Stegostoma tigrinum: one gene and its partners. The protein of the gene in region 1 purifies or fractionates together with the protein of each later gene. This does not show direct contact. Links are inferred from orthologs where the notes say so. Each region holds a gene or a part of one and is shown in the gene's direction. Other genes may lie near its edges.

Region 1 (10,237 bases):
CCTTCCGTATGTCAACTTCACCTAGAGTAAGCAAACATCTATCCCTAACCTCAACATCCGTCATGTCCCTCTCCTTGGTGAATACCGATGCAAAGTACTCGTTAAGAATGTCACCCATTTTCTCTGAATCAGCGCATAACTTTCCTTCTTTGTCCTTAAGTGGGCTAATCCTTTCTCTAGTTACCCTCTTGCTCTTTATATATGAATAAAAGGCTTTGGGATTTTCCTTAACCATGTTTGCCAGCAATATCTCATGTCCTCTCTTAGCCCTCTTAGTCCCTTTTTTCAGATTCGCCCTACATTTCCGATATTCTTGCAAAGCTTCGTCTGTCTTCAGTCACCTAGACCTCATGTATTCTTCCTTTTTTCTCTTGGCTAGTCTCACAATTTCACCTGTCATCCATGGCTCCCTAATCTTGCCTTTTCCAGTCCTCATTTTCACAGGAACATGTCTCTCCTGCACACTAATCAACCTCTCCTTAAAAGCCTCCCACATATCAAATGTGGATTTACCTTCAAACAGTTTCTCCCAATCTACATCCCCAGATCCTGATGAATCTTGGTATAGTCGACCTTCCCCCAGTTTAGTACTCTTCCTTTAGGACCACTCCTATCCTTGTCCATGAGTATTGTAAAACTTACGGAATTGTGGTCGCTATTTCCAAAGTAGTCCCCTACTGTAATATCAACCACCTGGCCGGGTTCATTCCCCAGCACCAGGTCCAGTATGGCCCTTTCCCGAGTTGGACTACATACATACTGCTCTAGAAAACCCTCCTGGACACACCTTACAAATTCTGCTCCGTCTTGACCCCTAACACTGAGTGAATCCCAGTCAATGTTGGGAAAATTAAACCCTCCCATCACCACCACCCTGTTTCTCCTACACCTTTCCATTATCTATTTACATATTTGTACCTCTATCTCACGCTCGCTGTTGGGAGGCCTGTAGTACAGCCCCAACATTGTTACTGCATCCTTCCTATTTCTGAGTTCTACCTTTAATCTTTAATAATCTTAAACACTGCAACTAGATCACTCCTTAATCTTGTACATATAACAGAACACCAGCCAGCCTTCCTCTGTTCTGAGGAAGAGTCACTTGACCCGAAATGATGACTTTGATTTCTTTTCACAGATGCTGCCAGACCTGCTGAGATTTTCCAGCAATTTCTGTTTTCTTTCCTGATTTACAGCATCCGTAGTTCTTTTGGATTTTGCCAGCTGTCCTATGTAACCTGCCCCTAAAGTGTAACTCGTTTAGCCTGATATCATAAGATATATGATATAGGAGCCGAACTAGGCCATTCAGTCCATCAAGCCTGCTCTACCATTCAAACATGGCTGATATGTTTCTCAACACCATCAGTCTGGTGAACTGAGCACTGCACCTTCTCCAAGGCTCATATATCCTCACTAAGGTGTGGTTCTCAGAAATGAACATAGCATTCTAAAACAAAAACGTGAGTTAGTTTGGAGGGGCAGTGCTGAGCGAAAGCTGCACTTTTGGAGGGGCAGTGCTGAAGAAATCCTGCAGTGTTGCAGGTGCAGAGCTGAGGGAAAGCTGCACTGTCAGAGGACCAATGCTGAGAGTGCTGCTCTCTCAGAGGGGCAGTACTGAAGGAGTGCTACACTGTCAGAGAGGCAGTAGTCAGGGAGCAATGCGTTTCGAAGGAACAATGCTGGGGAGCACAACAGCATTGTAAGGTCACATTGTGGGAGTAATCCGCTATTGGAATATCAGATCTTAGAGAGTGTTATACTACTGAAAGGTCGGCTCTGCGGGAGTGCTTCATGTTAGTTCTGAGGGTACACAGCATGTTAGACGAGGTATACTTTGCATATGATTCGAAAATGAAAGGCCCATCTACCTCAATTAGATGCAAATAGCATCAAACTATCAAAACGGATTCAAATAAAAAAATCTAGTCATTTTCACACCGTCGAAGGTCTGTGACCTGTACAACACTTCAAAAGTATTTCACTGAGTGAAAGTGCTTTGGGAAGTCCTGGTGGGATAAAAGATGCTAAATAAACTCAGGCTATGTTTATTATCTTGGAATTCTCCAGCATCTGCAGTTCCCATTATCTCGGGCTATTTCTGTTTTGTTTTGTAAACGAACAGAAATTATAACCCAAGATAAGGAAGACATTTAACAAAACTGATTCAGGCAACTTCGCTTTATGGGAACCGGTTCCATTTATTGCTGAGCCTGACCGGCGCGCGTTTGATCTCAGCAGCGAAACTGATCCGCTACTGACACTCATCTCCCTCTCATCTCAGTAAGCACATTTATAATTTACAACAGTGTGCCACCAGTTTAAATGGCTATCGGGAAGGGCCGTGAATCTACCTTACACAAGCACGGCAAATTCCTGGCGGGGGGGGGTGGGAAATGACACGAGATATTTGTGAATCATTTCGAAGTAATAAAGCATACAGCACGTAGAAAGCTTTCGAACCAACACATAGATACAAACTGTTCACTGCAATACACTGAAATTAGATTCAGCCTCTCTTCATTTAAGCTCAGGTCATTCAATGAATCTTTGCAATAGCACCAACCTTACAGGATCCCGAGGACCTAAATCCTGTTGTGTTTACTCTGCCTTCTCACGTTGAGGTCAAATATCATTGCATCTCGTTGGCTCTGGGATTCTAAAAATGTACATCTGTTTACTCCGTCAGTCCCACCTCCGACAAGCTCCACGTATTAAAAGCCCAAACTTGGTATCACATACCCACTGCATCTTAATTAAGCCAGTTCTCCCTCACAATTCTGTTACTTGCCTCCTGAATGGGTTAAATTGCAGGGGTAGATTCGTCCAACTGCGTCAGCACCATCGCAGCGAATCTGAGCAGGTCATGTTGAAGGATATCGGTTGTCCTCCGGTTAAGGTTAGGCAGCAGAAAGGAACGTAAAGAGAGTGTGCAGAGTGATGCAAGCATCTGCTCGCCTCTCTGGTCCCGCTCTGCTCCCTCTTCCTTCTCTCAGCGTTCTGTTCCATCGCAATTCCAACTTTGATCTTTCGGTCATTCATTTCCATGTGCTACATCTAGAAGTCGCCGCTCTAGGCACCTCCGTGCGGCATTGGTTGGACCCATTCGTCACTCACTGCCATGCTGCAGTATCACCGTGACCTTCAGCCTGTTCACTCTCCTGCCTCAGAACAGTGGGATTTTTCAACACTCATTCCGCTGCTGCAGTAGAGCTGAGACGGACGACTCTCCCTCACGCACTGCTTACCTGTATCACCTACAGGAGATAGGTGTTCCAATGCATATCAGCATTGCAATGCAAGGGCCTGAGGATACCTGTATAGTTCGGTACCTGAATGTCTTTGGCCAGAAGCATGCAAGTTGATCCACTGGATTCTGAACGGCAGTGATTGCAAATCATGCAATATCGTCCCCCATGGAAGCAGACCCTTCACTCTAACCGTCTATGCTGAGCAGATATCCTCAATTAATCTAGTTCCATTTGCCAGTATTTGGCCCATGTCCCTCTAAACCATTCCTATTCACGTACTCATCCAGATGCCTTGTAAATGTTGTAATTGGAGCTTCTGACACAAGGCATGAGCCTGACTCTATTCTAACCAGAGGGCCAGCAAAAGCCTCCACACAGTCCAAATCCCACTCAAAGCTCTGTGACAGGCCATACTCTCCCGCAGACTTCTGTATCTGGCCCTTTACACATCCCAGATCTTAATTGTTACACCTGCCTTCGCTTAAAATTCCCTCTGTAATCTTTCTATCCAATAACCTTTATGGAGAGGTGGCAGCTTTGTGGTAGTGTTCCTGGGCTGTTAAACCAGAGACACAGGTAATATTCCTGGGTTCAAATCACACCGTGGGAGATGGTGGAATTTGAATTCAATAAAAATCTGAAAATAGACGTTCAATGATTACTGCGAAACCATTGCCGATTGTCAGCGAAACTCATCTGGTTCACTAATGTTCTTTAAGGAAGGAAACTGCCATCCTTACCTGGTCAGGACTACATGTGTCTCCAGACCCATAGCAATGTGCATGACTCTCAACTTCCCTCTGGGCAAGTAGGAGTGGGCAATAAATGTTGACCTAGCCAGCAATGCCCTTCTCCTTAGAATTAATAATTTAACCTCTGTCCTCCTTCAAGAGGCTCCTTAAGATCTAATTTTGCAGCAATACTTCTGTTCATCTTTCCCAATATCTGCATTCATGTCTCAATGTTATGCTGCATCTGATTCGTGCTGTTATGAGGGACCCAGGGATACTTCACTACATATATCAATGTTTGTGAGCTGGCATGGTACTGAAATATCTCAACAAGCCACTTGGACGGGATAAGATCATTTAGCCTCTCAAACCTTTAGCATTATTCAGTAACATATTTTTTGATCTAACTTGTAAACACTGTCTATCTGACTTAGTACCATGACAATTAATATCCTCTCTAACAAAAATCAGTTTTGCAATCTTCAATTTCCTCAGCCTCAGTTGAGCTTAGTAGTCAAGAGATTGCAGATTTCTTCCTTTAGTGTGAAGAAACACTTCTTCCCTGAGTGCCCTACCTCTAATTTTAAGGTTATACTACTTTGTTCACATCTCACACCACCCTTGCCAGAGGAAAAAGGTTTCTCTGTATTTTCTCCATTTCCTGATTCTCCTACTATACCAAGCCAGCTTCGCTCAGGTTACTCGAATTAGATTCAATGCCCCTTACATCCTGAGGTTAATAACATTTGTCAATGGGATTTGGACATGCTCAGTAAGATTGACATTTGTTCCATCCCTAAATGCTCCGAGAAAAAGTGATGGCAATCTACCTTATTGAACTGTACACCATGCGAAGCGAGGAGTGTTATTAACCCATGAGATGTAAGAATTATTGCCCAATCCCATTTACCCTCAAGAAGGTGGGTAGCTGCCTCGTTGAACTGATGTCATTAAGGAGGTACGTACTGTGTTGATAGGAGAGCTGAAGCATGTTAAGGAGTTAAAACAAAGTTGCTGGAAAAGCAAGGGTCACTGGACCTGAAACGTTAACTCTGTTTATTCCTTCACAAATGTTGCCAGACCTGCTGAGCTTTTCCAGCAACTTTGTTTTTGTTCCTGATTTAGAGCATCCACTGTTCTTTCGGTTTTATAATATTAAGGAGTTATCTAACTGAAGTCTTTAAGATATTAACAGTTAAAGACAGGGTAGGTAAAGATAAACTATTACTAATGGTTGGGGATTCTAGAACTAGGGGGCACAATCTAAAAAATTAAGACCAGGCCGTTAAGGACAGATATTAGGAATCAGTTCTACACACAAAGAGTGGTAGAGGCTCAGAACTCCATATCACAAATGGCAATGGATACTGGATCAGTTGTTCATTTTAAATCTGATTTGATACATATTTGTTAAGCAAAGATATTAAGGGAAACGGGCAGAAGACAGGTATGTAGAGTTGAGCCATACATCCAGACATTAATGTACTCTGAATGTAACTTTGACCCTAAACTTGGCCTGGGCTCTTCCAGGGAATTCTCATATTGACCTCTAAACTTTGTATTGCCCTTAACCTTTGCATTGCCCTTTTATTTGACTCTTAACCTTTGCACTGCCCTTTGCCTTGACCACAACGTTAGCACAATCCCTTGTTCGCCCTGGGACTGAACCCGACCCTAGAACCCTGAGATGCTGCTTGACCTGCTGTGTTCATCCAGCCTCACATTTTATTATCTTGGAATTCTCCAGCATCTGCAGTTCCCAAATTCCTTGAACACTGTCGCCTCCCTGTTGCCATGGGAGACGCGGCGCTGTAACCACGGAAACCGCCCGTCAATTCTGACCCCGCCCCCTCGTCGGAGCGAGCGCCGCGCCGGCCTGCGTCAGACGCATGGCGTGGTGACACAGTACGTGCGTGCGCGGGTGGCAATCTGGGCGGCTGGCCGGCGCGCCATGTCCCGGAAGGTCTCTTACTTTTATGACCCAGATGTGGGCAACTTCCATTACGGTCAGTGAGGGGGTAACTTTGGGACACAGGGTGGAGAGTGGGAATGGGGTTCGGGTACAGAGAACTAGGGAGCGGGTGAAGCAAGAGGGGCCATATGTAGGGACTGGGGGAGGGGGCGTGTGGGGACTGGGGGGGGAGGGGGCGTGTGGGGACTGGGGGGGGGAGGGGGCGAGAGGGGACTGGGGGGGGGAGGGGGCGTGTGGGGACTGGGGGGGGGAGGGGGCGTGTGGGGACTGGGGGGGGGAGGGGGCGAGACGGGAGGGGGCGTGTGGGGACTGGGGGGGGAGGGGGCGTGTGGGGACTGGGGGGGGAGAGGGGGCGTGTGGGGACTGGGGGGGGGAGGGGGCGTGTGGGGACTGGGGGGGGGAGGGGGCGTGTGGGGACTGGGGGGGGAGGGGGCGAGACGGGAGGGGGCGTGTGGGGACTGGGGGGGGTGGGGGCGTGTGGGGACTGGGGGGGGTGGGGGCGTGTGGGGACTGGGGGGGGAGGGGGCGGGGGGGTGGGGGCGTGTGGGGACTGGGGGGGGAGGGGGCGAGACGGGAGGGGGCGTGTGGGGACTGGGGGGGGAGGGGGCGTGTGGGGACTCGGGGGGGAGGGGGCGAGACGGGAGGGGGCGTGTGGGGACTGGGGGGGAGGGGGCGTGTGGGGACTGGGGGGGGAGGGGGCGAGACGGGAGGGGGCGTGTGGGGACTGGGGGGGGGTGGGGGCGTGTGGGGACTGGGGGGGGTGGGGGCGTGTGGGGACTGGGGGGGGAGGGGGCGAGACGGGAGGGGGCGTGTGGGGACTGGGGGGGGAGGGGGCGAGACGGGAGGGGGCGTGTGGGGACTGGGGGGGGTGCGGGCGTGTGGGGACTGGGGGGGTGGGGGCGTGTGGGGACTGGGGGGGGAGGGGGCGAGACGGGTGGGGGCGTGTGGGGACTGGGGGGGGGAGGGGGCGTGTGGGGACTGGGGGGGGGAGGGGGCGTGTGGGGACTGGGGGGGGAGGGGGCGTGTGGGGACTGGGGGGGGAGGGGGCGAGACGGGAGGGAGCGGGTGGGGACTGGGGGAGACGGGAGGGTGCGTGTGGGGACTGGGGGGGGGAGGGGGCGAGACGGAAGGCAGCGAGATAGGAGGGGGCGCGTGGGGACCTGGGGGGAGGGGGCGAGACGGGAGGGGCGCGTGGGGACCCTGGGGGGAGGGGGCGAGACGGGAGGGGCGCGTGGGGACCCGGGGGGAGGGGGCGTGACGGGAGGCGGCACGTGGGGACCCGGGGGGAGACGGGAGGGGGCGTGAGGGGTGAAATGGGCAGGGGCGCACATTGGGACAGGGGCGTAAGGGGTGAAAGGAGACGGGGGTGTGAGGGGTGGAACGAGAGTGGGAGCACGTAGGGACGGTGGGGTGAGGGGTGGAACGAGAGAGTGGGAGCACGAAGGGACGGTGGGGTGAGGGGTGGAACGAGAGAGTGGGAGCACGTAGGGACGGTGGGGTGAGGGGTGGAACGAGAGTGGGAGCACGTAGGGACGGTGGGGTGAGGGGTGGAACGAGAGAGTGGGAGCACGAAGGGACGGTGGGGTGAGGGTTGAACGAGAGAGTGGGAGCACGTAGGGACGGTGGGGTGAGGGGTGGAACGAGAGTGGGAGCACGTAGGGACGGTGGGGTGAGGGGTGGAACGAGAGTGGGAGCACGTAGGGACGGTGGGGTGAGGGGTGGAACGAGAGAGTGGGAGCACGTAGGGACGGTGGGGGGGGTGAGGGGTGGAACGAGAGAGTGGGAGCACGTAGGGACGGTGGGTTGAGGGGTGGAACGAGAGAGTGGGAGCACGTAGGGACGGTGGGGTGAGGGGTGGAACGAGAGAGTGGGAGCACGTAGGGACGGTGGGGTGAGGGGTGGAACGAGAGAGTGGGAGCACGTAGGGACGGTGGGGTGAGGGGTGGAACGAGAGAGTGGGAGCACGAAGGGACGGTGGGGTGAGGGGTGGAACGAGAGAGTGGGAGCACGTAGGGACGGTGGGGTGAGGGGTGGAACGAGAGAGTGGGAGCACGTAGGGACGGTGGGGTGAGGGTTGGAACGAGAGAGTGGGAGCACGTAGGGACGGTGGGGTGAGGGGTGGAACGAGAGAGTGGGAGCACGTAGGGACGGTGGGGTGAGGGGTGGAACGAGAGAGTGGGAGCACGTAGGGACGGTGGGGTGAGGGGTGGAACGAGAGAGTGGGAGCACGTAGGGACGGTGGAGGAGGATGAATCAAGACGGACATACAGACTGGGGGAGGGGACACATTGGGCTATCAAAAGGGAGACCAAGGGGGTTTATAGAGACTCTCTCCATGGGAGAAAATGAATGGTGAATTGAAACATACCGAAATGTATTATGATAACTGAGGTGATTCAGTGAACTGAGCTATGTGGAGAGGTGGTTACTGAGTGGATCAGTGGCTGGAAGGTGCCAATGGGGTTACGAGCAGTTAGTTATAGAGAAAGGGGAACATATCGAGACATGGGGAACATTGACACATTTATAAGTGGCCATTCTTCGATACAATGTTGGAGATATATGACTTAGTGGTTATTAAGTGTACAAGTGCTGCACTGAGACAGGAGAAATGACATGAGGGTTACCCAAACGTGATGGTGCCAGTAATTCAGGGATGTGGATTTATGAACCAGAGGGAAGATCTCAAATCCCTACCTCAGCAGCTTAGAATTTTAATTAATTTATTTAACACTTCATGTCAGTAATAGTGATTAGAAATTGCTGGAAAGGTGTGAATGTATTAGGTTCAGGATCTCCTTTAGAGAAGAAGGTCTGCCATCCTTGCCTGTACCATGGTATATGTAACTTCAGTGTAGTTGGCCCTAAAGTTGTCAAATCAAGGCAAGTCATTCAAGAAGGAGGGTCAGCAGCATCTTCTGCAGCTCAGTCAGAGATGGACAATAAATACCTTGCTGTTGGGGCATATTGTATGAATGAATTTTAACAAAATGCTGGATGATATTTAGTATAGTAGTAGTGAGTTACAGAAGTTGGGAAAATGAGAAATTGAGGACGATATTGATAGAGACTTTTTAGCTCCCCCACAGTTTTTAAACTTCTTGCCTTTACCAAAATCCCTTGCATTATCTTGCTTAGGCACGATTACATGGGTTACATTTTCTACGTCTAGGTGAAAGTGTTAAAATTTTTATCGAGGGTTTTTTTTGAGATTTTCTCAAGGCCAGTGTTGATTCACAGAGCTATTTGTCATTGTATCAAACTCCATTTTAACAATGTTGTCAAGAAGTAATATTGCCTTTTGAGTTTGTGTTTTCTTCTTTGAAGGTATAGATAATCTAGCAAAAATATCAAGGATGACATGTACGTTAACGCTATCAAATTTTTAACTAAGTGCCTATAATAGGAAATTTTTGGCTATTTATTAGAAATAAACCTCACATATTGTTGTACATTCACCAAAATAAATAGAAAATTAGCTTTGAGGTAGATAGTGAACTTTGATCTAATTGAACGGCAGAGCAGAATTGCCTATTCCTAATCCTATGTTCCCAATGGAAACCTAATGTAAAACCTGATTTTCCAAGAATTCCTGTAACTAGGGAAAACATGATTTGTAAATAGCTTCCTGAAAGGCTTCATACGCATTGAATGTCAGATGCTGACTGACAACTCGGTAGCCTTTAGGTGGCTTTGGAAAGGGTGCAGAAGAGGTTTGTCGTGATGCTGCTTAGATTAGAGGGTATGAGCTATAAATAGAGGCTAGAAAAACTCGCGTTGTTTTCTCTTGAGCAGTGGAGGCTGAGGGAAGGCTTGGTAGAAGTTTATAAAATTATGAGATGGTTAGATAGGATCGACAGTCAGAATCTTTTTCCCAGAGTTGAAATGTCTAATATTAGGGGGTATGCATTTAAGTGAGGGAGGAATGTTCAAAGGAGACATGAGCACATTTTTTACACAGAGACTGGTAGGAGAGTGGAGTGCACTGCCAGGGGTAGTGGTTGAGGCAGACACGATAAGGGCATTTAAGGGACTTTTAGGTAAGCACATGAATATGCAAGGAGTGGAGGGATATGGACCAAGGGCAAGCAGAAGGGATTTGCTTTATTTTGATGTGTCTGGCATGACATCATGGGTCGAAGGGCTCGATCCTGTCTTGTACTGTTCCGTGCTCTATTTCTTTGTTTTAACAAAATTGCAGATGATCTATCTCTGTGTTCCATCCCTCTCTACACATATTAACTATCTTGGCTACCATAATCATGACCTCTTTGTGGAAAGTT
Region 2 (10,469 bases), on another chromosome or scaffold:
AACTACTAATTGTAAACAGTTTTTTGTGGTAACTTTGAGCATCTGACCTTTTACATAAGCAGTGGCAAATGATGAAGAGCAATGCATACAAATTTAAAAAGATCTTGATCAGTTCAATGACTGACACTGTGGCAAATGTAGTTCAATACAAGGAAATGTAAAATTTTAATTTTGACAGTTTACGTATGAATATTAAATGGAAGTGTAGTTGAGGCCTTGAAACAGGAGAGAAATCTTGGGGTTTTAGTGAAAATGTCAAAACAAAGGAAATATAATGTTGGATGGCAAAGATAGGATTATGATGTACAAATCCAGAGAGGCTATTTTCAAACAGTATTCAATTGTCTATATTACTGTATTCTAGCTCAATCATTTCAGGTTTTTCATGTAGTTCTTTGCAGTGAGTGATACTTCTATGATTTTCTCATTTCATTGGAGTTTGGAGGGACTACCATGAGTCATGGATTTGACTTCAAGGGTGTACACGTGCTTATTTGGAAATGGGGACCTTTAGTCTCTTTACCATTTTAAATAACGACTAAAATTAATCAGATATTGGAGGGGGTATGGAGAAAGGATTTTCCTACAATATAAGAGAATGAGGAATTCTGGTGAAAAGTATTTTGCAGCTAATCTAAATGTTTGTAAAATGTATGATAATGCACATGGAAATGATGGAATGAATTGCTAGTAGGCAGCTGCAGCATTTTCTGGAATCAGAATATTCGAGTCAAAAGCTATAAACGAATTTCTGCTTTAATTTAGTAGTGAAGAAACAGATTGTGATAAAGTTGAATATCTATTTAGTAACTTCTGTAGTTATAGATCTTTTTAATCAATCTGGGCAGATATGTTACAACAACATAGTGGAGCATGAGACTTGAACCCAGATATCCTGGCTCAATGGTAAGGACACCACCAGAGTGCCATATGCGCTCCCAAAAAGTTTGATGAGTAGATATTTCAATCAACTTGTTCCGACATGTTATGACACACCTCTAGAGCAGGTTATGACACACCACAAGAATCCTAATTGAAGTTTTGTATATTTTAATTAATCACATTCTCATTCTTTTCAGGGAACTGAAACCAGGAGAAGAAACAACATGGAAGTGAAGACCTCAAAGCAGGACTGTGAAACAAGCAACCATACTGCATAAAAATCAGCCCAAATGCGGTTTTTGTCTTGAATCTTCAATTAGGGATCCGGTGAAAGTTAATTCAAGTAATGCTGTTTTGTTTTAGTACATTTTCACCTATCTCAATCTGCATATCTCTGTGTAACAGAAAACTAATTTAAAGTCCTAAAATTTGCCCAAGATTGTCCCCTTTGTATCACTGGAGTGTAAAGTTTAAAAATGAACAGCAGATAGTTCATTATTTGTTTCATTAACCTGGATATATACAAATGGTATGGCAGACTTAATAAAACTTATTGTATTTATTTTTATTTGAACCTTTTTTCGACATTACAATTTTGAAGTTGTAAAATGTTAAGTGAGGAATGGTAGGACATGGATTTGTGTCGAATGATCATCTTTCCATTCTGTTGCCCTGAGAATTGACAAAGCAAAAATACAAGTGTCATCAATTCCAAGTGATCAACATATTTGAATGAATGATTTAAAGTCACATATGTCTAGGGAGATACAGTGAAAAGTGTTCTGTCACCACAATCTGGTGCCATTTGGAGGTACAGAAGAATAAAAAGTACGAAATAGAATTCATCTTTATCAACCATAGTCCCAAACACAGCTGCAGGACTTCTGCAAGGTCCCTGCTTTGGGCCTACCACAGCCAGTAGCCACCACTCGGTGGGGCTGACACTGCCACAGTCAATGACCTGCTGTTGCCAATAGAGTCTGTGCTCTGGGCCTGCAGCAGCTGACAGCCCACTACTATTTCAGCAGTCCGTACATCAGGTCTATGAGCCAGGAATCAGCATCAACATCAATGTGTAGTGGAGAATGATACTTCATTAGATTATTTCAAATTATGAGCTCTTAATAATCCTACTGAACTTGACTGAGGACTTTGTAAATCTTGGAGTGGAACTGCAGTATTTCAGTGGCTTAATAAGATTGTTGGCAAGTATTCAAACAATTTAATTTGAAATGACAGCAGAAGGTGATTATAATAGCACACAATCAATTTATACATCTGAATTGAGTGCACCCTGGTATGACATCCATGAACTGCTTGTTTCCCACCTTCCTTTTCATCCCCTTCGCAGTGATGTGCCCATCATTGTGAAGAAGGCCATGTTACTCAACAGCAGGCATCTGCTATTTGTGTGGATTGAACATTGACTACCTATAATTTATACAAAACTGGTGGCTTGCCTTTTTATTCCTTTTCTTTTCCACCTTGTGTTTTTGTTGCTTGTTCATTTGAAAGATTATTTCACAGATTACCTGTTAAGTTTCCACAAACCCCAGACTGAAAATCATTGTCCTGAATTAGAAAGTCCAACAAACAGCTGTGTGATAATTACATATTTTGGTTTTATTGATGTTGGTTATGGGATAAATATAGCCAGGATAGTGGGAAAATGTCCCTGCTTTTCATACAAATAAGGAACAATTGTAGACCACTCAACCCTTTGAGCCTGCTATTCTAACCAAAGTTTACACTCTATCCATGTAGCAGTGGAGTGTCAGTCTAGATTTATGTTCATATAACTAGATTTAAATTAAATTGTCTGACTCAGAGGCAAAGTACTACCACTGAATCATGACTTACACCTAAAATCCTGTGTTGTTAATTTCTTAAAAATCATTGTTTTTGGTTCATGTCCGGATGCCAGTAACTAGGCTAACAAGTGGCAAGGAACGTTCATGCCACACAAGTACCATACAATGACCATCCACAGCAAGAGAGAACCTAACCATCGTCCCTTGACATTCAAAGTCCTTCTTATTCAGAGGCTAGGAATCCTGCAGTGAGTAACTCACCTGACTCACATGGCAGAAGTCAGAAATGCAACGGAAAATACTTCCCACTTGTCTGGATAGGTGCAGCTGCAACAATATTGAAGAAGTTTGACGTAATTTGGGGCAAAGCAGCTACTTTACTGGTACCACACCTAAAACATTCACTCCCACTAGTAGCTACAAGGTACACTGCATAAATTCATAAGGCTCTTTAGATAGCACCTTCCAAGCACCCACCTAGCAGATAACATCACCAACTGCAAGTGCCCCTAATTTGGAAATATATTGCTATTCCAATGTCACAGAGTCAAAATTCTGCAACTCCCTTCCTAATGGCATTGTGGATCTACCCAAACAAAATGTACTGGAACCATTCAAAGTGCCTCACTTCCACATTCTCAAGGGCATCTAAGGATAGGCAATAGATGCTGGCCCAACCATCAATGCCCACATCCACTGCAACATAATCTCATGTGCTACTGGCATCCAAAGGGACTGGAAAATGATGCCATGTACAAACAACAAAATTACATACGTGCAAATCCAACCACTGTCCTTCAAATCTGCCCTTGTAATTGTGATCCCAGTCTAATGTGCATTATTCTGGTGACAGCCAAACATCCTAGAAGCCCCAGATCACTGCATCTATAAGATGCTGAAAACCATGATTGGAGATCTTCCAATCTATCTCTCAATGCCACTTGAGAACTATGAACATGTCCCCATCTATAATAAAGGGAGCAGAGATTGAAAGCATCAAGTTCCTAGGAATGACAATAACCAACAACCCGTCCTGAACTTTCCACATAGATGGTCAAGAAGGCGCAACAAAGATTCTTGCTCAGACAGCTTAGGAAATTTAGCATGTCCACAAGGTCCCTCACCAACTTTCACAGATGCGCCACACAAAGCATAATAACAGGTACATTACGGCCTGGTATGGCAAATGCTCTGCCAGGACCACAAGAAACTACAGAAGGTTGTGTGCACAGCCAGACCATCATGGATGCCAACCTTCTATTAATGGACTCCATTTACACTTCTTGCTGCTGTGGAAAGGCTGCCAAGATCAACAAAATGTCTCCCACCCCGGTAATGCTCTCATACAACCTCTTCTGAGCAGAAGATACAGAAGCTTGTGCCCCCCTCCTGAGATGCTGCTTGGCTTGCTGTGTTCATCCAGCTCCACACTTTGTTGCCTTCAAGGCAACAGGGAAGCTACTCCTGAAACTGATCAGCAGATGCAAGGTATTCCGCACGGAAACAGACCCTTCGGTCCAACTTGTCCATGTCGACGATAAGAATTACATTTCTATACTCTCATGCTTCCCCAACTTCTAATCTGTGCTGCCGTAACTGCTGAGAAATTCCAGCAGTTTTTGTGGGTTTTGTTTTTCAGATTTCCAGCATCTGCAATTTATTTGGGATAATGGGAACTGCAGATGTTGTAGAATCCAAGATAATAAAATGTGAGGCTGGATGAACACAGCAGGCCCAGCAGCATCTCAGGGGCACAAAAGCTGACGTTTCGGGCCGAGACCCGATGAAGGGTCTAGGCCCGAAACGTCAGCTTTTGTGCCCCTGAGATGCTGCTGGGCCTGCTGTGTTCATCCAGCCTCACATTTTATTATCTTGGAATCTCCACACACGTACGAACAGGTTCAAGAACGGTTTCTTCCCTGCTATTATTAGACTGATGAATGGACTTTCTAACTTCAAAAAGGTGATCCTCCTGCGCAGTGTAACCTGTATGCCTCATTCTATTTAAGCACCCTAAGTTCTGTATATCCCTGCTTACTATAATCTGCTAGTGCTGCTCACAAACAAAGCTTTTCACTGTACTCAGGTACACGTGACTACAATAAATCAAATAAAATTTCAGACAGAAGACACTAACTGCTTTGTTTCCAATTGTATAGGCACAGGCAGGCAAGCCGATTCCTGAAGCTTAAAAAAATGAAAGAACTGCGGATGCTGTAAATCAGAAACACAAAGTTGCTGGAAAAGTTGAAGGGTCTAGGCCTGAAACGTCAGCTTTTGTCCTCCTGAGATGCTGCTTGGCTTGCTGTGTTCATCCAGCTCCACACTTTGTTGCCTTCAAGGCAGAGATCGACAAATTCTTGATCTCAGAAGGAATCAAGGGCTACGGGGAGAGTGCAGGGAAGTGGTGTTGAAATGCCCATGAGCCATGATTTAAATGGCAGAGTGGATTTGATAGGCCGAATGGCCTTACTTCCACTCCTATGTCTTATGGTCTTATGGTTATGCTGGAAAAGTTCAGCAGGTCTGGCAGCAGCCGTGAAGGAAAAAAAGAGCTAATGTTTCAGGTCTGATGACCCTTCCCCAGAACTGTCCTGAAGCTACTCCTGAAACTGATCAGCAGATGCAAGGTATTCCGCACGGAAACAGACCCTTCGGTCCAACTTGTCCATGTCGACGATAAGAATTACATTTCTATACTCTCATGCTTCCCCAACTTCTAATCTGTGCTGCCGTAACTGCTGAGAAATTCCAGCAGTTTTTGTGGGTTTCGTTTTTCAGATTTCCAGCATCTGCAATTTATTTGGGATAATGGGAACTGCAGATGTTGTAGAATCCAAGATAATAAAATGTGAAGCTGGATGAACACAGCAGGCCCAGCAGCATCTCAGGGGCACAAAAGCTGACGTTTCGGGCCGAGACCCGATGAAGGGGCTAGGCCCGAAACGTCAGCTTTTGTGCCCCTGAAATGCTGCTGGGCCTGCTGTGTTCATCCAGCCTCACATTTTATTATCTTGGAATCTCCAGCATCTGCAGTTCCCATTATCTCCGACAACATTCCTGTCTGGTCCTGCACAATAGGAGGGACAATAGTACATTTCCGCCAGCAACAGGCCGGCGTCAACTGTGATACAGGAAACTCCGGATCGGCATTGATTTCCTAAAATTCCGGACATTTTAGTCGGTTTCTGAAGAGAAGTGACTGCACTCGGTGTAGATCTAAAACCCAGGCCGGCTGTGTCCAAGCCGGGCCTCAGCCTCAGGGACACCCCCGCGTCTCTCGCTGTGTTACGTTGCTAGGGCGACTGTGCGTTTCTATACGCATGCGTATGAGCAGGCCGATGATTGGTTCTCGCTTTGACCCCGCCCCCAGTGGGTGTAGTCACGCCGCACAGGATGATGGTTCATCGTCCATCATGGAGGCGATATTTCACGAGAAAGTGAGTTGATGCGGAAATTACTGTTTAAAATGGTCGAGGTGGGAGCTCCTCGGGCCCTGAGAGGAACGGCCGCAGTGGCGTTCGACGTCGTGTTGCAAAGGGGGAAAAAAAACACGCACACACACACACGTTCACACACCCCTCCCTAAGGTTGGGGATGGAGTCGGGTAGGACAAGGGGAGCTGTGAGCTTCCCAAACGGTGTAGACGGGGGAGGAAGTATTCTTCTCCCCGAGTGGGGGGGTACTTTCAACCCTTTTCCCCTGCCGATTGAGGGGCCTTCACTCCCTGACCCCCCCTTCCTCCGACTGAGGAGTCTTCGCCCCCTGCCCTACCCACTCCGACTGAGGGGCCTTCATCTTCTGCCCCACCTACTCCGACTGAGGGGCTTTCACCCTCTGTCCCACCCACTCCGACTGAGAGGCCTTAACCCTTCTCCACCCTAACTGAGCTGCCTCCCCCTCTCCTCCCCCACCCCTAGTTTATTGAAGTTTTAAATATGTTGTTTGTAACAGTCTTTGATGTCCTGTTTCTGATCCAAAATATTTCTGATCATTCCCATAAAGCATTTAAGAGAGAGTTTTTCGTAATACACCTTTAATTACCTTTGTGTGAGGCTCAAAAATGACAGCAGCACTTGAGTATTGAGCAACACTTGTTACTGCATGATACAAGAGCACAATTTGTCAACCAGCTGACTCACAATAGTTGGTAAAGTTATGTTTTTACAGTTTTACTTCAATATAGGTGATCATTGTTCGGTGACTAATGTGTGGAAGTTCATCTGTTTCTGATAGGGAATTGGCTAGGGAGAATTGATGCCCAATATAGTGAAATGTTGGTTGTGATTACAATGTGACAAACTTGCATACATTTCCCATATAGATATGGGTGTTGGAATTGTCAAAATATGAAAATAAAGATGATGTAAAATGTTCAAATGGGGACTAAATTTCAACTGATTCCTGATCTGATTATCTCTCACCATATAACTTTATATCTTTTAAGGCAGCACAGGCCTTGATTCTACATAAAATGTCATAAGATATTACTAACTCATAATAATTGTGGTAAATTTCATTGATTATGCAGCTATTTATTTGTATTCTTTTAGTTCATACATACTGTAAATAACTCATTAAAACTTTACAATTTATGCCTAGTTATGCAAGACCTATATAATTCTGACTCTTGTACCTAACAATATAGCAGATAAGCTGGCTACATATGTGTGTGTATTGTAAAATGCCATGTATATTTATTTACTAATACTTGTACTTATTTGGCGAACCCTATTTTCTCTTATTCTGTATAAGAGCATCAGAACGAGAAGTAGATCGTTTGCCACCCCCCTCCCCAAAAGCCACTAAACTCATTCTTGATCACAAATCTGTCCAACTTAGTCTGAAATATGTTCAATGACCTAGTCTCAACTGTACTACGTGACACAGAACTGCAAAAATTAATGACACTCCTAGAGAAGAAATTCCTCACCTCTGTTTTAACTGGGAAGCCCATTGTTTCTCTTCTGCCCTTCCTCCCCAAGAGGAAACACTCTCTCCTACTTTTTCAGACCCCCCAGAATTGAATGTACAAACTTTTCCTTTCAAAGCTAACTGAGGTGACAAAAGGATCAAAACCAAAACATATACAAGATAATTGGAAAAAGAACTAGATGATTGTTGAAGAGAATGTTAGGCAGCAGTTTGTTCAAAGTTGGAATGCACTTAATAAAGGGGGGTCGAAGCAAACTTAATGTTTAAAAGCAAATTTGTGTACTTCACAGAATCTTGTATTCTTCCGCTTCTGCCACACACTCATCTTCTCCGTAAGCTATATGTTCCTCCTTTTCAGACAATAACCCATTTCCTTCTTGAATATATCAAGTGAACTTGCCTCCACTGTACTCTTAGCAGTGCATTTCAGATCCCAACCTACAGGAAAAAGCTTCTCATGTTTTTTGCCTGTTACCTTAAATCTGTGCCTTCTCATTTTGAAAGACTCAATAGATGAGAAATTTTTCGTTAATTACTCTGTCTAGACTGTCCTTTTCTCCTATATTGTTTCATGGGATCAGCATCTGTTGCTCATCCCTAATTGCCCTTGTACTCTATGGTTTGTTAGGTCATTCCAGGCAGCAATTAAAAGTTCACAACATTGCTTTGATCCAGAGCAACATATACGCAGACTGGGTAAGTAGGATAGATTTCCTGTCATAAAACATGTGAGTGAACCAGATGGATTTTTAATGATTTTTCATGCTAGCTTTATTTTGTGTAATGAACCCAGCTGATATTATTACTGGATAACTTGAATGCCAGACAGGAACCTGACTTGATAGATCATAATTTTATTTGTTTTGGTTTTAGAAACATGGTCTCTGACATAGACTTGAGCACATAATGCTCCAGATTTTGTTTCACTGACCAAACTAGTTTATTAAAAAGAAACAATGATAGAATAATCCAAACTACTTATGGTACAAATTGCAAGGTTTTAAACACATTAGAATCCCATTAATCCCAAAAACACCTTTATAAATTAAAATGAAGCCAAGCTGCTTTTAATATCTTGCTCAGAACACTCCTGGCACTGTTCTCAAACCATCACTCCTGGTACAGTATACAAGCATCATTCATGTAATATTCACGCCAGTTAAACTCGAACTCTGATACCTTACTCCTGGGGCTGTCATACACTTGAACTTTACTGCAAATAGCTTAAACAACCACTCCATCTTTGGCTTGACATGCTAAAGTACTCAGCAGCCTCCTTAGATTCAATACGTACTTATGTCTTTGTTAAATACATCTTAGCAGCAGTAGGCCATTTAACTCTTTAAGATGGCTCCTTTGTTCAATAGATTCTGGTTGAAATCCACATTGCCATTTGCCCTGAAAATCTATCTGTTCCCTTACCTAACAAGAGTCTATCAATCTCTACCTTAAAGATACTTATTGATTATGCCTTCTGAAGCCGAGTTCCAAAGTCACATAACCTCCTCATCTCTATTCTAAAAAGGCCACTAATAATTTTAAGTGTCTTCTAGTTTTGCTCTCTCACGAGAGTAAGTGTCTTTTTCACCTTCACCCTGTCAAGACAACTCCGAAAAGATAAACTTCAGTCAAATCACTCGCTCTTCTAAAGTGCAGAAATAGAAGTCCTTGGTGGATTCGCCCCCGTGAATAACTACACAGTGTGGTACCAAGTAATTATAGCATAATGTGGGCTTGTATAACATAAGCACAGATTACACGTGTAATATAACTTTTGACTTGGGCAGGCTACAATTGCACTTTGTCTCAAAGAAAAATCCAGGCAGTGTAGGATCATGCATAGCTTTGGAGTAACGTTGACCATACTGATTAGTGACCAGTGATTGCATTTTAGATTCGAACAGGATGAATAGCCAGTTGGCAACTTAACAGAAGCCTGTCTGGACTTGTGCAACTGTACCTTGGTACATGTGATTAAGCTCTGGAAAGGCACCATGAAAATTGTAAGGGAACTAAATCCTGTTTAGATTCTCTCTTGATGGAGATTCTAATTGTCTGGCACCTGCCTTTTGTCAATATTACTTAACACTTAGCCCATGGTTGAATATCATCTATGCCTTTTTGTATACAGCCTGCACTGGTTCGGTATTTAAGTCATAAGGACACTGCAGTCATCAGTGTATGTTCTCACTTTTGTCCCTATGATGGAGGGAAAGGTCAGTGAAGCACTAAAGAAGGTTAAGTCTAGGATACTACTCTGAGGACTTCTTGCAGCAATGTGCTAGGGCTAAAATGATTAATCTCCTTCAAACGCCACCATCTTGCTTTCTATTTATTGGGTATCTAATCAGTGGAGAGTTTAATCTTCTGATTTCCATTGGCTTCAGTTTCGCTTCTACCTTTTGATGCCGCATTCTGTCAGATGCTGGTTTTGACATTAAGTAAATTGCCCCCACCCCGTTTCTTGACTTCAGTATCACTGCTAAGATACTGCCAGCACCCATATCCTGACTGTACTCAGTGTCTTCAGCCAATTCTTGACATTATGTGGAGCGAATCAAATTATCTGCAGATTGACATTTGTGATTCTGTTGATGTCAGGAGTTGACCAAGATAGATCATGCATTCAATATTTCTGGTTGAAGAGGATTGCACATACTCCAGTTTTGCCTTTGTACCAATTGATGGGCCTTCCCATCATTGAGGGTGGGAATGTGTGGAGTCTCCACCTCCTGTTAGTTGTTTTATTATCTTTCATCACTCTGAATTGGATGTGGCAGGCTTGCTGAGCTTTAATCTGACCTTTTGATTTTGGGATTGCTTAACTCTATAGATAATATG
Region 3 (11,134 bases), on another chromosome or scaffold:
CAGATTACTACCTGAATGTCTATAAATTAGGAGAGGGGAGTGTGCAGTGGGACCTTGACGTCCCTGTGCACCAGTCACTGAAGGTAAACATGCAGGTGCAGCTGGCGGTAAAAAAGGCAAATGGTATGTTGCCCTTCATTACAAGAGGTTTCAAGTTCAGGAGCAGGGATGTGTTCTACAGGGCCTTGGTAAGGCCACACCTTGAATATTGTGTGTAGTTTTGACCTCTTTTTCTGAGGAAGGATGCTCTTGCTCTCGAGGGAGAGCAGTGAAGGTTTATCAGGCTGATTCCGGTCAGAGCAGACTGATGCATGAGAAGAGATTGACTAGGTTGGGATTGTTTTTGCTGGAGTTCAGACAAATTGTTGCCTGGGGGATTCTCATGGAGACTAATAAAATTCTAACAGGACTAGACAGGGTAGATGCAGGGATGATATTCCCGATGGTGGGTGTGTCCAGAACCAGGGGTCACAGTCTGAGGATTCGGGGTAGACCATTTAGGACACAGGTGAGGAAACACTTCTTCACCCAAAGAGTGGTGAGCCTGTGGAATTCATTACCACAGGAAGTAGTTGAATGTGCTCAAGAGGTGCCTAGATATAGCACCTGGGGCGAATGGGATCAAAGATTATGGGGAGAAAGCATGATGAGGCTATTGAGATGGACATTCAGCCATGATTGTGAAGAATTGTGAAGGCTCAAAGGGCTGAATGGCTTCCTCCTGTTCCTATCTTCTATGCTTCTATTGTAGTCCTTTCTTTTGACTAGCAGCATCCTAAATGAGCAACAAACATCCTAGCCAAACATTAAATATTCATTATCATTCCATCAATTTCCACAGCTACCATCACCACACATCCTCACCCCCTCACAGCTCAATTCCATTCTCCCAGATTTTTCATCCCTGTCTCATCTCTTTTTATAATTCAATCTTCCACAATGGTGCTTCCTGCGTACCTTCTTTTATCTCAACTCAGGATCCCACCACCGGTCAATGTGGGGAGGTAAAATGCAGACTGAGTGACCACTTTGCACAGCACTGGCATTCTGTCCGCAAAAATGACACCAAGCTTCCAGTTGCCTGCCACTTCAACACATCACTGTGTTCCTGCACCAGTATCTTTTACTTGGGCCTGCTCAGTGCTCCAGTGAAACTCAGCGCATGCTCAAAAAAAAATCTCACTTTCCGCCTGGGGATCCTGCAGCCTCAAGGACTCAACATTGAGTTCAATTACTTTAGAACCTGATTCTGTTCTTTTAAATTCAATCCCCACACCCAGTCCTGTTATGACATATATTGATTTCAGCTCAGTCATCCATTCTCACATACTCCTAGGTCCATTAGCACAGAGATAGTAAGAACTGCTGATGCTGGAGTTTGACATAAGGCGGTGTGTAGCTGGATGAGCACAGCAGGCCAGGCAGCTTTCGAGGAGCAGGAAGGAGTTCATTTCTGAAGAAAGATCCCGACCCAAAAAGTTAGCTTTCCTGCTCCTCGAATGCTGTGTTCATCCAGCTACACACTGCGTTCTAGCACTTTACATGGATTGCTTTCGGCACAGCTCACCCACTCTCTCCTACTCTTAGCTCTGATTGTCACTGATTCAGCTTTTCTTCTGACCTTTTCTGCTTTCCATTATCTCCTTCTTTACCTACCCTTTTATATCTCTATCTATCAGGGCTCCATTTCCACCTATCCACTCACCTGTAGCCTTCCCTGCTCCCTACCCTAAAGTCAGATTCAGCATAAATACCACCTTTCCCTAGCTTCTAACATTTCTGATGAAGTCACTAGACTCGAAATGTTAACTCTACTTTCTCCTCACAGACACTGCCAGATCTGCTGAGCTTTGCCACCAATTTGTTTTCATTTCAGATCTCCAGCATCCACAGTTCTTTGTTCTATCCCCTGGATGAATGTTTTGCTGTTCTCTATAACCATTACCACCTAGTTTGCATTTTGTTCTATGATACCTCGGCTTCTTAATCCTCCCTTCCCTTTTCAGCAGTAGACAACCCATCCCATTTTTACCTATCCTTGGTTCGTACAGGATCAAGAAGAATTTTTAAAAAACATATTATCAAAATGGTGGGATTGCAAAGCTCTGAGATGCAGTGGGATCTGGGTATTCCAGTGCATGGATAGCAAAATATAGTTTGAAGATACAACAAGTAATTCAGAAAGTTAATCCAATGTTACCATTTATTGTGAAGGGTACTGAATGCAAATGTGGGGAAGTTATGCTTTAGTTTTACTGGGAATTGGTGAGCTCATTTCTAGAGCATTGTGCACAGCACTGGTTTCCTTATATAAGGGAGAATATAAATGCAACAAATGTATACTAGACTGGAATGGGCAAATTGTCTTATGAAGGAAAGTTGCACAGACTAGGATTGTGTCCACTGGAATGTAGTTATTAAGAGATATGGGTCACAGGAGTGTATATGGAGTTAGGTCATCGATCAGGCATGACCTCATTGAATGGCGGTACAGTCTTGAGGGACCAAGTGACCTACTCCTGTTCCCATATTCCTACCTTGCTCTCCAGGAGAGTACAAGGTGACATTACTGAAATATATAAGATCCTGAGGGGTCATGACAGGGTGCACATGGAAAGAATGTTCTTCTTGTAGGAGCATCTAGAATTAGGCGATTCAAGATAAAGGAAGCACAGATTTAAGATAGAGTTGAGGGGAGGGTTTTATTTTTCTCTTCGAGATTTGGGAGGTTTTAGGATTAGCTTTATGAAAAGGTGGTGGAAGCAATGTCTCTGAATAGTTTGAAGGAGGAGGTGCATAGATTCTTGGCAAGCAGGTAAGTGGAAGATTATCAGGAGTGGGTGCGAATATGGAGAAAACTTATTAGATGATAGAATAGGCTGGAGAGGGCAAATGGCCTACTTCTGATGCTAACTCACATTTTATATATTATATTGGACTTGAAACATTAACTCCGCTTTTCTGTCTCTCTCTACAAATGTTGCAAGACCTGCTGAGGCTTTCCATCACTTTTTTTAAAATTTGAGATCTCAAGCATTCCCAGTATTTGTTTTTATGTTAACTCTTGTCTTACTACCCTATTGCACCAACCGCTTTGGGGTTAAGGCTAGTTTGAATTTTGCCTTCTGTGTGTTAGCTGATCAGCACCCTGGTTGCCGGGAAGTGCTCCACATTAGTTTAGGCTAGGAATTAGCCAATGTAGGAGGTTAGGTGAGACTACGATCAGCTGTCTAAGAGTCTCTTGGCACACTCTGTCAAACCTTGAGGTGTACATGCCATACAATCGCCTAGTTACTAGAAATTGGAACAACACAGTTCCTGCAAAGTGTGCCAACACCAGAGAGCGGGATTGAAAAAAATGGATTGAAATCATTCATATTATTACTGTGATCTCAAAAAAGAAAATCAATGTAGAATCATGTGCAACCTTTTCATCTGATTCTCCTTGGGAAAATACATCTGATATTTCACTTTCCACTAAACTTCACAAAGATGTATCTCCAAAAGATTACTAATCTGAATTTGAAACTGAAGTCAAATTTTGGTTTCCTCAGTGATTCAGCTTTTGAAGGATAATGTTCAGATAACTACAAGCTCTAACTTATGGCTCTAACCACTCAGCTTAAAGCCTGAAAATGTATTCCTGCTAATTCTTGTAGGCAGCAATGGCTAAAAAAATACAATCAGCGTCATAGGACATGACTGTATAACAAATAAAGAGTTTAATAATGTAATTAATACTGATGAATAAATAGTAGTTGAAAATATCAAAAGCTTTTTTGGTTCATATCTACTGTACTGATTCCAACTAAATGGATAAGGTACACAATATTATTATTACATCTTCCTGCATTTAAGACTCAACTATATAATTAACGTCAATGTGAATGGTTTCTAAAACTCCTACAAACAAACATAATTCGACATCATCTCAAATGGAGTTCATTTTAAAAAAAGCCTGCATTTCTGTTGCAATAAAATTGACATTTCAAAATTCCTGGTGATAAAATTAATTTTGTGTGGCTAACTGGTTAAGCCCATAACTAAAAAGGATTATTTCATACTCTCATGGCATTTTGCCCCTCCTGCTGGTGCTAAGTTTTGTTTTAGAGTAGCTTCACGCATTAGTAATCAGTTATACAGAGCCTTGTATAGCTACAAGCTGACTCAAAGCACTTTAGAACCAACTAAACACTTTTTTGATAAACACAAAGAGGTGCAGATGATGGAAATCTGAAACAAAAACAGAGTGCTGGAGAAACACAGCAGATCCGGTAGAATCTGTAGAGAGAATACAGAGGTAACATTTTGAGTTTGGCAATCCTTCATTAGAACTCAAGTACATTTCTGTTTTGTCCTTTGTTCTCATGTTAAAAAACATGGAAACAAACTTGGATGCAGCAAGCTCACACAAACAATAATTGATCAAGTAAACATTTTAAAAACCCTGTTGCTTAAGGGATACATACTGGTCATACACGAGAAAACTTCTGCTCCAACTCAATTAATCCATGGGATCCTTAAACATCAACTGAACAGGCAGACGGGGACTTGGCGCTTCTGAAAGATACATGTCTATTTAGATTTTGTGGTGATATTTGAACCTAAGAGCTTACAGGCTCAGAGATGGCAGTGCTCTGAGGCATACAGTACACCAGGGGTGGAAATATCTCACCCAATTTCCCTTCATTTTCAATCAGTGAATACCAGTGGGCTCAGACACCATGGCAGACAAGATCAATTCTCTGTCCTCTCCAGACGTCACCATTGCTGCATCCTCTAACAGGGATACATATTAAACATTGATTGTTCTCCCATGCTGACCCAGAGCCATTTACTTCAATCCTAGAACCTTAGCTCCTATCTCAGTTGAATTTCATCAACAGGGTATTAATGAAGCAAAGAATGTGTTCAAGGTGTAATAATGAGCCATAGAATACCTGTGACCCACTGGTCTATGGTGGAGGGCAGGCTGCTCTTGTTCTGGAATATCTTAAAATATATCGATAGGACCAAAGAAATTTGAATGGTTGCACACAGCTTGGCTGTTAATGACTGATATTTAACTCGGAAAGCTTCTTCAGAGCTCGATTCCTGTTCTTGGCTTCCTCACATTGCTTCCACGTGCATTTTTAACATCTCTACACATCGATTGATGTCAAAGAGCCAGCAGACCTCCGTAGATGCATCCTCTTGTGGAAAGGAGCCATGAGCTGGGCTGGGAACAATTAACAGCGATAGGATGAGGGAAGGGAGGGGGTTGGTGGGTGGAATCTTGCTCTTTGACTAACACAGCCTTGCCAATGGCTATGCCTGAACATCACTCAAGAAGAAAGGAGAGACAAACACCCCTATTTTGTTCCGCCCTCTTTGCTTTCATTTTTTTCGAATATAACATCAAATGATTCTGAATACTGTGGCACCAATTGCATGGAAATGAGCACCAGGCTTCGCGAAGCATAATAGCCTGGAAGTACAAGGAAGAATTCATAATGTACATCTCTCACACATGGTGAAGTTATTTGCCGACATACATCCACACCATCACACTAACGGACTACAATTTCTTTGTTGAAAGATACAGCTTGTCACCAGAGGTTGAAGATTTAATTTTTTTTTAATTGGTAAATTTCATCTATGTGTAGGAACACACAAAGAAAAAGTTAGCAGCAGATGGATCAGTTAAATTGCAATGTGGTTAACTGCAAAGGAAATTCAAAACTTTGTTCACAGAATACTTGCAGTGAGCCAGCTGCTGTACACCCAGGCACACTCCAACCTAACAATTAGTAGTCCCAATCACTTGCATTGTCCGCTCGAAAAAAAGGCAACGTAAGCCAGTAATAAGCAGACGACACATAGAATAATGTGCCACTTACCAATGGAGAATAAATTCGTTGACTTGCCTTTCAAATCCTTGGACTGCAATTAGAACATAAAGGCACTAATGTATTTCTTTTAGGAAATAACTGCTCGGAATAGGACCTTGTGAAAAGTGCTGCGACAGTTACTGGCGATACTGAGTACAAGGTGAGTCCCTAAATTCTCTATAACTTGCAGAATCACTTTATTTAGCTAAGTACTTTTTTTGATATCAGGTATCCTATTCGGAAATTGCCTCTGATTTCATCAATTAGTAGCAATCTGATATATAAGTGCTCCCGGTTAAGTGTTTTAAAGTTCAATTTCTTTTTCCCCTATTTGTTTTCCTACTCTCAGGGAGGGCTGATTCCACAGGTGCCAAGTCGGTAGCTCTCCATGCCGTTGCTTCAGCGCCCACTCTTCATACAGGCGCTGAACATCAGCAGAAAGTTCAGCAGTGGACGGGCATTAGAGACGGTCCTGATTGCCTCATTTCATGGACACCCTCATACACTTCAAGCAAGATCTGGGCAGGATGCAGTAGGAGTATTGAGCAGCGTGCAAATGTCACCTAGGATTTTCACTTCAAGGTTATTAAAAGTTAAAATTTAGAATTGGAGATGTCCATATTCCAATAATATTAGAAAAATTGTTCATTCTTCTACGAAGATTGAGGGGAAGAAATAATCGCAAAGGCACCAAATGTACCGCCAAAAATGTATACCACACTCTGAACATAATTAAACCAAAATCATAATGTTATCGTAACACTTCCAAGTGAGAAATTCTTTTCTTTTCGATAACTATGATAAAAAATTAGCAATAGAATTCATTTCTTTAAAACTGTATTATTTTCAGCAGTACAAAAATTGAAAGCCGCAGTGAAATATTACTGATGGTTTAAAACAGCTCCATTACTCTTAAAGCAACACAGGCTCTGTTGTACAGGATCATATCGTTCTATTTGCATAATAAGCAAAAAGGGACTGTGAGTCAGTTTTGCAAACTCTAGCCTCTGCTATTTCCTGACTGAGCTAAGGGGAGGGCAGGTGGGGCGGGAAGGGCATGCTACAATGAGAAAAAAAGCGACATCACTTGGGGCACATGATCAACGGCAGCCAATTAGGTTGAATTATCAAAGGGGAACAGTTAAATTTGTAATTTAGGTTGTGTGAAACTCTTTGGGCCTCATAAACAACCACAGAACCACAAGTTGGGTGCAGACCAGTCACACAACAGTGGGTCCGGGATATTGGTCAGCACACAGCAACTCATTCTGATTTAAACCACAGAGTGCCAAGCATTTCGTACAGTGGTAAGCATCATCTAACCACAACCAATCCACTATTTTTACATTTCAGACCTCAAAAAAGTACCTTATCGTGTTGTTTGCAGCACTGCAGAAGCTCTGTGATAAGGTAAAAGGAAATTGCCAAAGATGAACGGTACGGTGGAGAGTGCGACTCTTAAATTCTGTTGGTTTTCCTTTGAAAAGGTGGGAGACCTGTGCAACCAGTTAGGACGGCTTCACGGGACACCATGGCTTCGAACAGCATATTCGAGTCATTTCCTTCATATCAACAGTGCTTCATGCGAGGTGAGTACCCCTGTTTAAAATGATTCACTCCGGTGCATGTTGAGAAATAGTCCTCCAACATTAGATACAAGAAAGATGCTGTTGCTTTTGTGGCTGCACGATGAGTACTTACTGAGTTCATAGCTGATGCAGAAAAAGGTTTATTTTTAAGCATTTCATTTTAGTTGGCAATTATCTCCAGTTCAATAAACACTCTGCTGAGGACAGAGAAGTGGCTCAGAAACTGAAACACGTCTGTCATGAGCAGCTTTTCTCACAATATGATATGACTCTTGTCTGATGGATTCGTTGAAGAAAGTGTGTACTCTTTAGGGCTGACTGAAGAAACACTGGAGTCTTTAGTAAAGTCGTTTTGAAAACACAGAATTAGTCACCCTTGACTGTGAGGAAACAGAAGTACGAGATATATGTTCAGAAGCTTATGTCATTTTGAGTCACTAACAGTCGTCAGAATCAGGCTGCTTTTCTTTCAATGTTTTTGAAAAAGAATGACTACAATGAAGTGAGAGAGACTGATAAATGCATGAGCAACACCCTTGAAACAAAGATTGATAACTCTCTTTCTAAACTGTTGCTCAATTGTACATAGCATGTCACTGTTTTCAGTACAATCTGCACCTTAAGCGAGAAATTTGTACCATCGACTCATGGTGGTTGGATGATTTATGCATTCCTGCATCATCATTCAGCTCCGTCGAATGGCCACAGTCCCAGTGTAAACTTGCTAACAGCTCCCTTGGCTCACTAAACAACTGTTTCCTCAGTGCTGTTAACAGCCAGAGGAAACAATATTCACCAAATAATGAGAAGGACCTTCCTGCATTCAGTTTGCTTTTATTTCATGTTTTGTTTCCAACCCGTGGCCACAGGAAAACTTATTGAGGAAATTTTTACGAGTTAGATAAGGTAATAAAGAGCAATGTATAAATAATCCTTTTTCACTGATACAGAATGCAGGCAGCTGAGGCATAGGCTGCTGAACAGTTAAGGGTATTAGTTAAGACGCCATTTTTAGCCCATCACATCGGGTGAAAGAGTAAGAAGAGGAGAGACCTTGAAGCAGGCAGACCACCAGACCACCATTGGTCTGTCCAATTGATGGCTAAAACAAAAGAAGGGCAATTGCCACATGCAAACCAGACAGGTATTCAATAGAACTTGAATAGACATGAGGAGGAGAGTCTTTTTAAATATGTGTATAATAAAGCCGTAAATTTGGAAAGGAAATCAGCTTATTTAATCTGCTTGTACTTGAGATAAATTTGTTTTTGTTATTTTGGCTTGGCTTCCTCTTTTTCCCTTGCCTGTGCATTGAACTCTGGTCAGCCTTGAGATATGAGGCAAAAACAGAATGCCTCCTGGACACATGCAAGTTAGATAAATAATCATGTCTGTGGGCAAATTGTTTCTGGTGCACTTTTCTCCTGGCTATTTGCATAGCCCGGTCTTTGCAAACGTTCCCGGCGCCGCTCTCTCCATCTTTTGCAACAACACTGCTGAAATTTATTGCCCTCGCTCTGCTAACAAACCCCGAATGGTCAGCTGTGGGGAAATAACAAGTGGTTCTCGTCCCATATATTTCACTTTATCAGTCCTTGCAGTTCTCTCAGAAGGAAATCCATAACTCTTGTAGCACGATACCCATGTTAAAAATGAGAAGGAGAGAAAAAAAAAGCAATTGTTCTATTCTAAGAAAACACTGGAAGAAAGCTGACGCATGAATTGAGTGTGGTACACCACAAAGGATATGGGTCTTTTCTATCATACCACACCAGGCTCTCCCTTCTGCTCTCCTACAAGGAAACTGCTGAAGTCGCACCTTCCAATGAAACATTGCGCCCCAAGAGGATGGATGTTTTCAGTTTACAGTGAGTTTAAACATTAATCCTGGTAGAGAATATAAGCGCAGTTTCATTGTTCTGGTAATATATCACTCAATGGTACATTGTGTTCCAGCAAACCTTGCGCTGTGCACTGGTAATCTTTTCATTTTGCATTCACGATCTAACTATCAAAGGATTGCAGGGTTGTGGGAGGTGAGGTAGAATAAAAGAGAGACTTGTTTTAACATTGTGCTCTTCCTGAATGCAGAAAATCTCAAGGTGCTTCAAAGCCAATAAAAACTATTGAGGTGTTGTCTATGATGTGGTGTAGATAATGCGGCAGTCAATTTCCACACAGCAAGCTCCCACAATACACAGCAAGCAATATTATACTGTTCCGGTAATCTGTTATTGTGATGTTCATTGAAAGGTACATACTAGCCAGGGTATCAGGGAGAACTCTGCTGCTTCCCTGAAAAATAGGGCCAAGGGATCTTTTTGATCCACTGAGTGTAAAGAGAGCCTTGGTCTCATTCAGAAGATGATGCACATGCTGCACCTTTTCCTGATTCTTGTGCTCAAAAATTTACCAAAAAAGTAGAGTTGCTACCAATAGTATTAAGGCCTTACTCTGACTCTCTTCACTGATGAGTTTGGCTTACATTCTAAATTTTGTTAAATATTGTTGACATTACATTCATTATATTTCACTGCATCACTAGATAATGCATAAGCAAAGGCATTGTTAGTTAAGTATCTACAAAATGAGCAGGACAGTGGCTCTGTGGTTAGCACTGCTGCTTCACAGTGCCACGCACCAGGGTTCCATTCCACCCCGAGGTGGCACTCTGTGTGAGGTTCTACTCAGATCTGTGTGGGTTTCCTTCGGGTGCTCTGGTTTCCTGTCACAGTCCAAAGATGTGCAGGCTAGGTGGATTGACCATGGGAAATATGCGATTACAGGGCAGGGGGAATGGGTCTGGATGAGATGTCCTTTTGGAGGTTCAGTGTTGATTTGATGGGCTGAATGCCCTGCTTCCACACTGTAGTGAATCCATGAATGAGGCATTTCACAATGCCTGGCACTACAAATCTGTTGCATGAGTCAAGACTGGAAGGGATATGCTGAATGAATATTAGACATTGCCTGGTTTGATATCAAGTATACTCACTGACTACCACAGGAAGGCACAATTCCACAGCATAAACATCACTTGAACTTGGTTCTCATCTTGGTTTCTTTTGATGAATTAAGACAAGTACTGCTCTGAAAGACTGGGAACAAGAGGCTGTTAAATCCCAATTTATCCATATGAAAAATATTAAAATAGAAAAAGAAAATTTCTAGATTGTTTCCTTATTCCTCATCATTGGCAACATTACTGCGATCATCCATGCAATATTTACTCAAGAAACATTGAATATCCTCCTATAATAAATTGTTATCCACTAGGAAATGCATTTTGCGCACATGTATTGAAGCAAATGGGTAATAAAGGATTCTAAGGTAAATAGAATGTTTGAAATAAATATTTTAAAGTTGAGAAGAACTTTCATTTACATAGCACCTTTTGCATTCTCACACTATCCCAAAATGTGTTACAGTCAACCAGGTCCTTGTGAAATATGCCCACTGTTGAAAATACTGCAGCCACTTGATTTACAAGAAGGCAGCAGTGAGTTATATCATCAGGATATGTAGCTTTAGGTGTTAGTTGAGGGGTAAATGTTCACCAGGACACAAGTCAACCTTTGTTCCAAATATAAAATTTATAACATACATTAAGTGGAACATCTGATCACCTTTGAGGTCTGTTCATTTTGTTTCTCAACCATTTACCACTGGGTGGCA

Evidence for each region.
Region 2: the proteins of hdac3 (region 1) and atxn3 purify together in Homo sapiens (affinity purification with western blotting; 3 studies listed by BioGRID). This does not show direct contact. The link is inferred for Stegostoma tigrinum from reciprocal best matches to the Homo sapiens genes HDAC3 and ATXN3.
Region 3: the proteins of hdac3 (region 1) and runx1 purify together in Homo sapiens (affinity purification with western blotting; 3 studies listed by BioGRID). This does not show direct contact. The link is inferred for Stegostoma tigrinum from reciprocal best matches to the Homo sapiens genes HDAC3 and RUNX1.

The regions. Positions count from the first base shown.
Region 1 is NC_081366.1:12,267,594-12,277,830, reverse strand, and holds the start of hdac3 (histone deacetylase 3), read left to right. Parts: upstream 1-5,882; 5' UTR 5,883-5,933; coding exon 5,934-5,988; intron 5,989-10,237. UniProt on the Homo sapiens protein: Histone deacetylase that catalyzes the deacetylation of lysine residues on the N-terminal part of the core histones (H2A, H2B, H3 and H4), and some other non-histone substrates.
Region 2 is NC_081363.1:27,978,088-27,988,556, forward strand, and holds the start of atxn3 (ataxin-3), read left to right. Parts: upstream 1-6,065; 5' UTR 6,066-6,109; coding exon 6,110-6,133; intron 6,134-8,256; exon of another isoform or gene 8,257-8,324; intron 8,325-10,469. Other genes in the region: NADH dehydrogenase [ubiquinone] 1 beta subcomplex subunit 1-like, read left to right, coding at 1,080-1,116. UniProt on the Homo sapiens protein: Deubiquitinating enzyme involved in protein homeostasis maintenance, transcription, cytoskeleton regulation, myogenesis and degradation of misfolded chaperone substrates.
Region 3 is NC_081365.1:22,189,377-22,200,510, reverse strand, and holds the start of runx1 (runt-related transcription factor 1), read left to right. Parts: upstream 1-7,016; 5' UTR 7,017-7,177; intron 7,178-7,357; 5' UTR 7,358-7,401; coding exon 7,402-7,459; intron 7,460-11,134.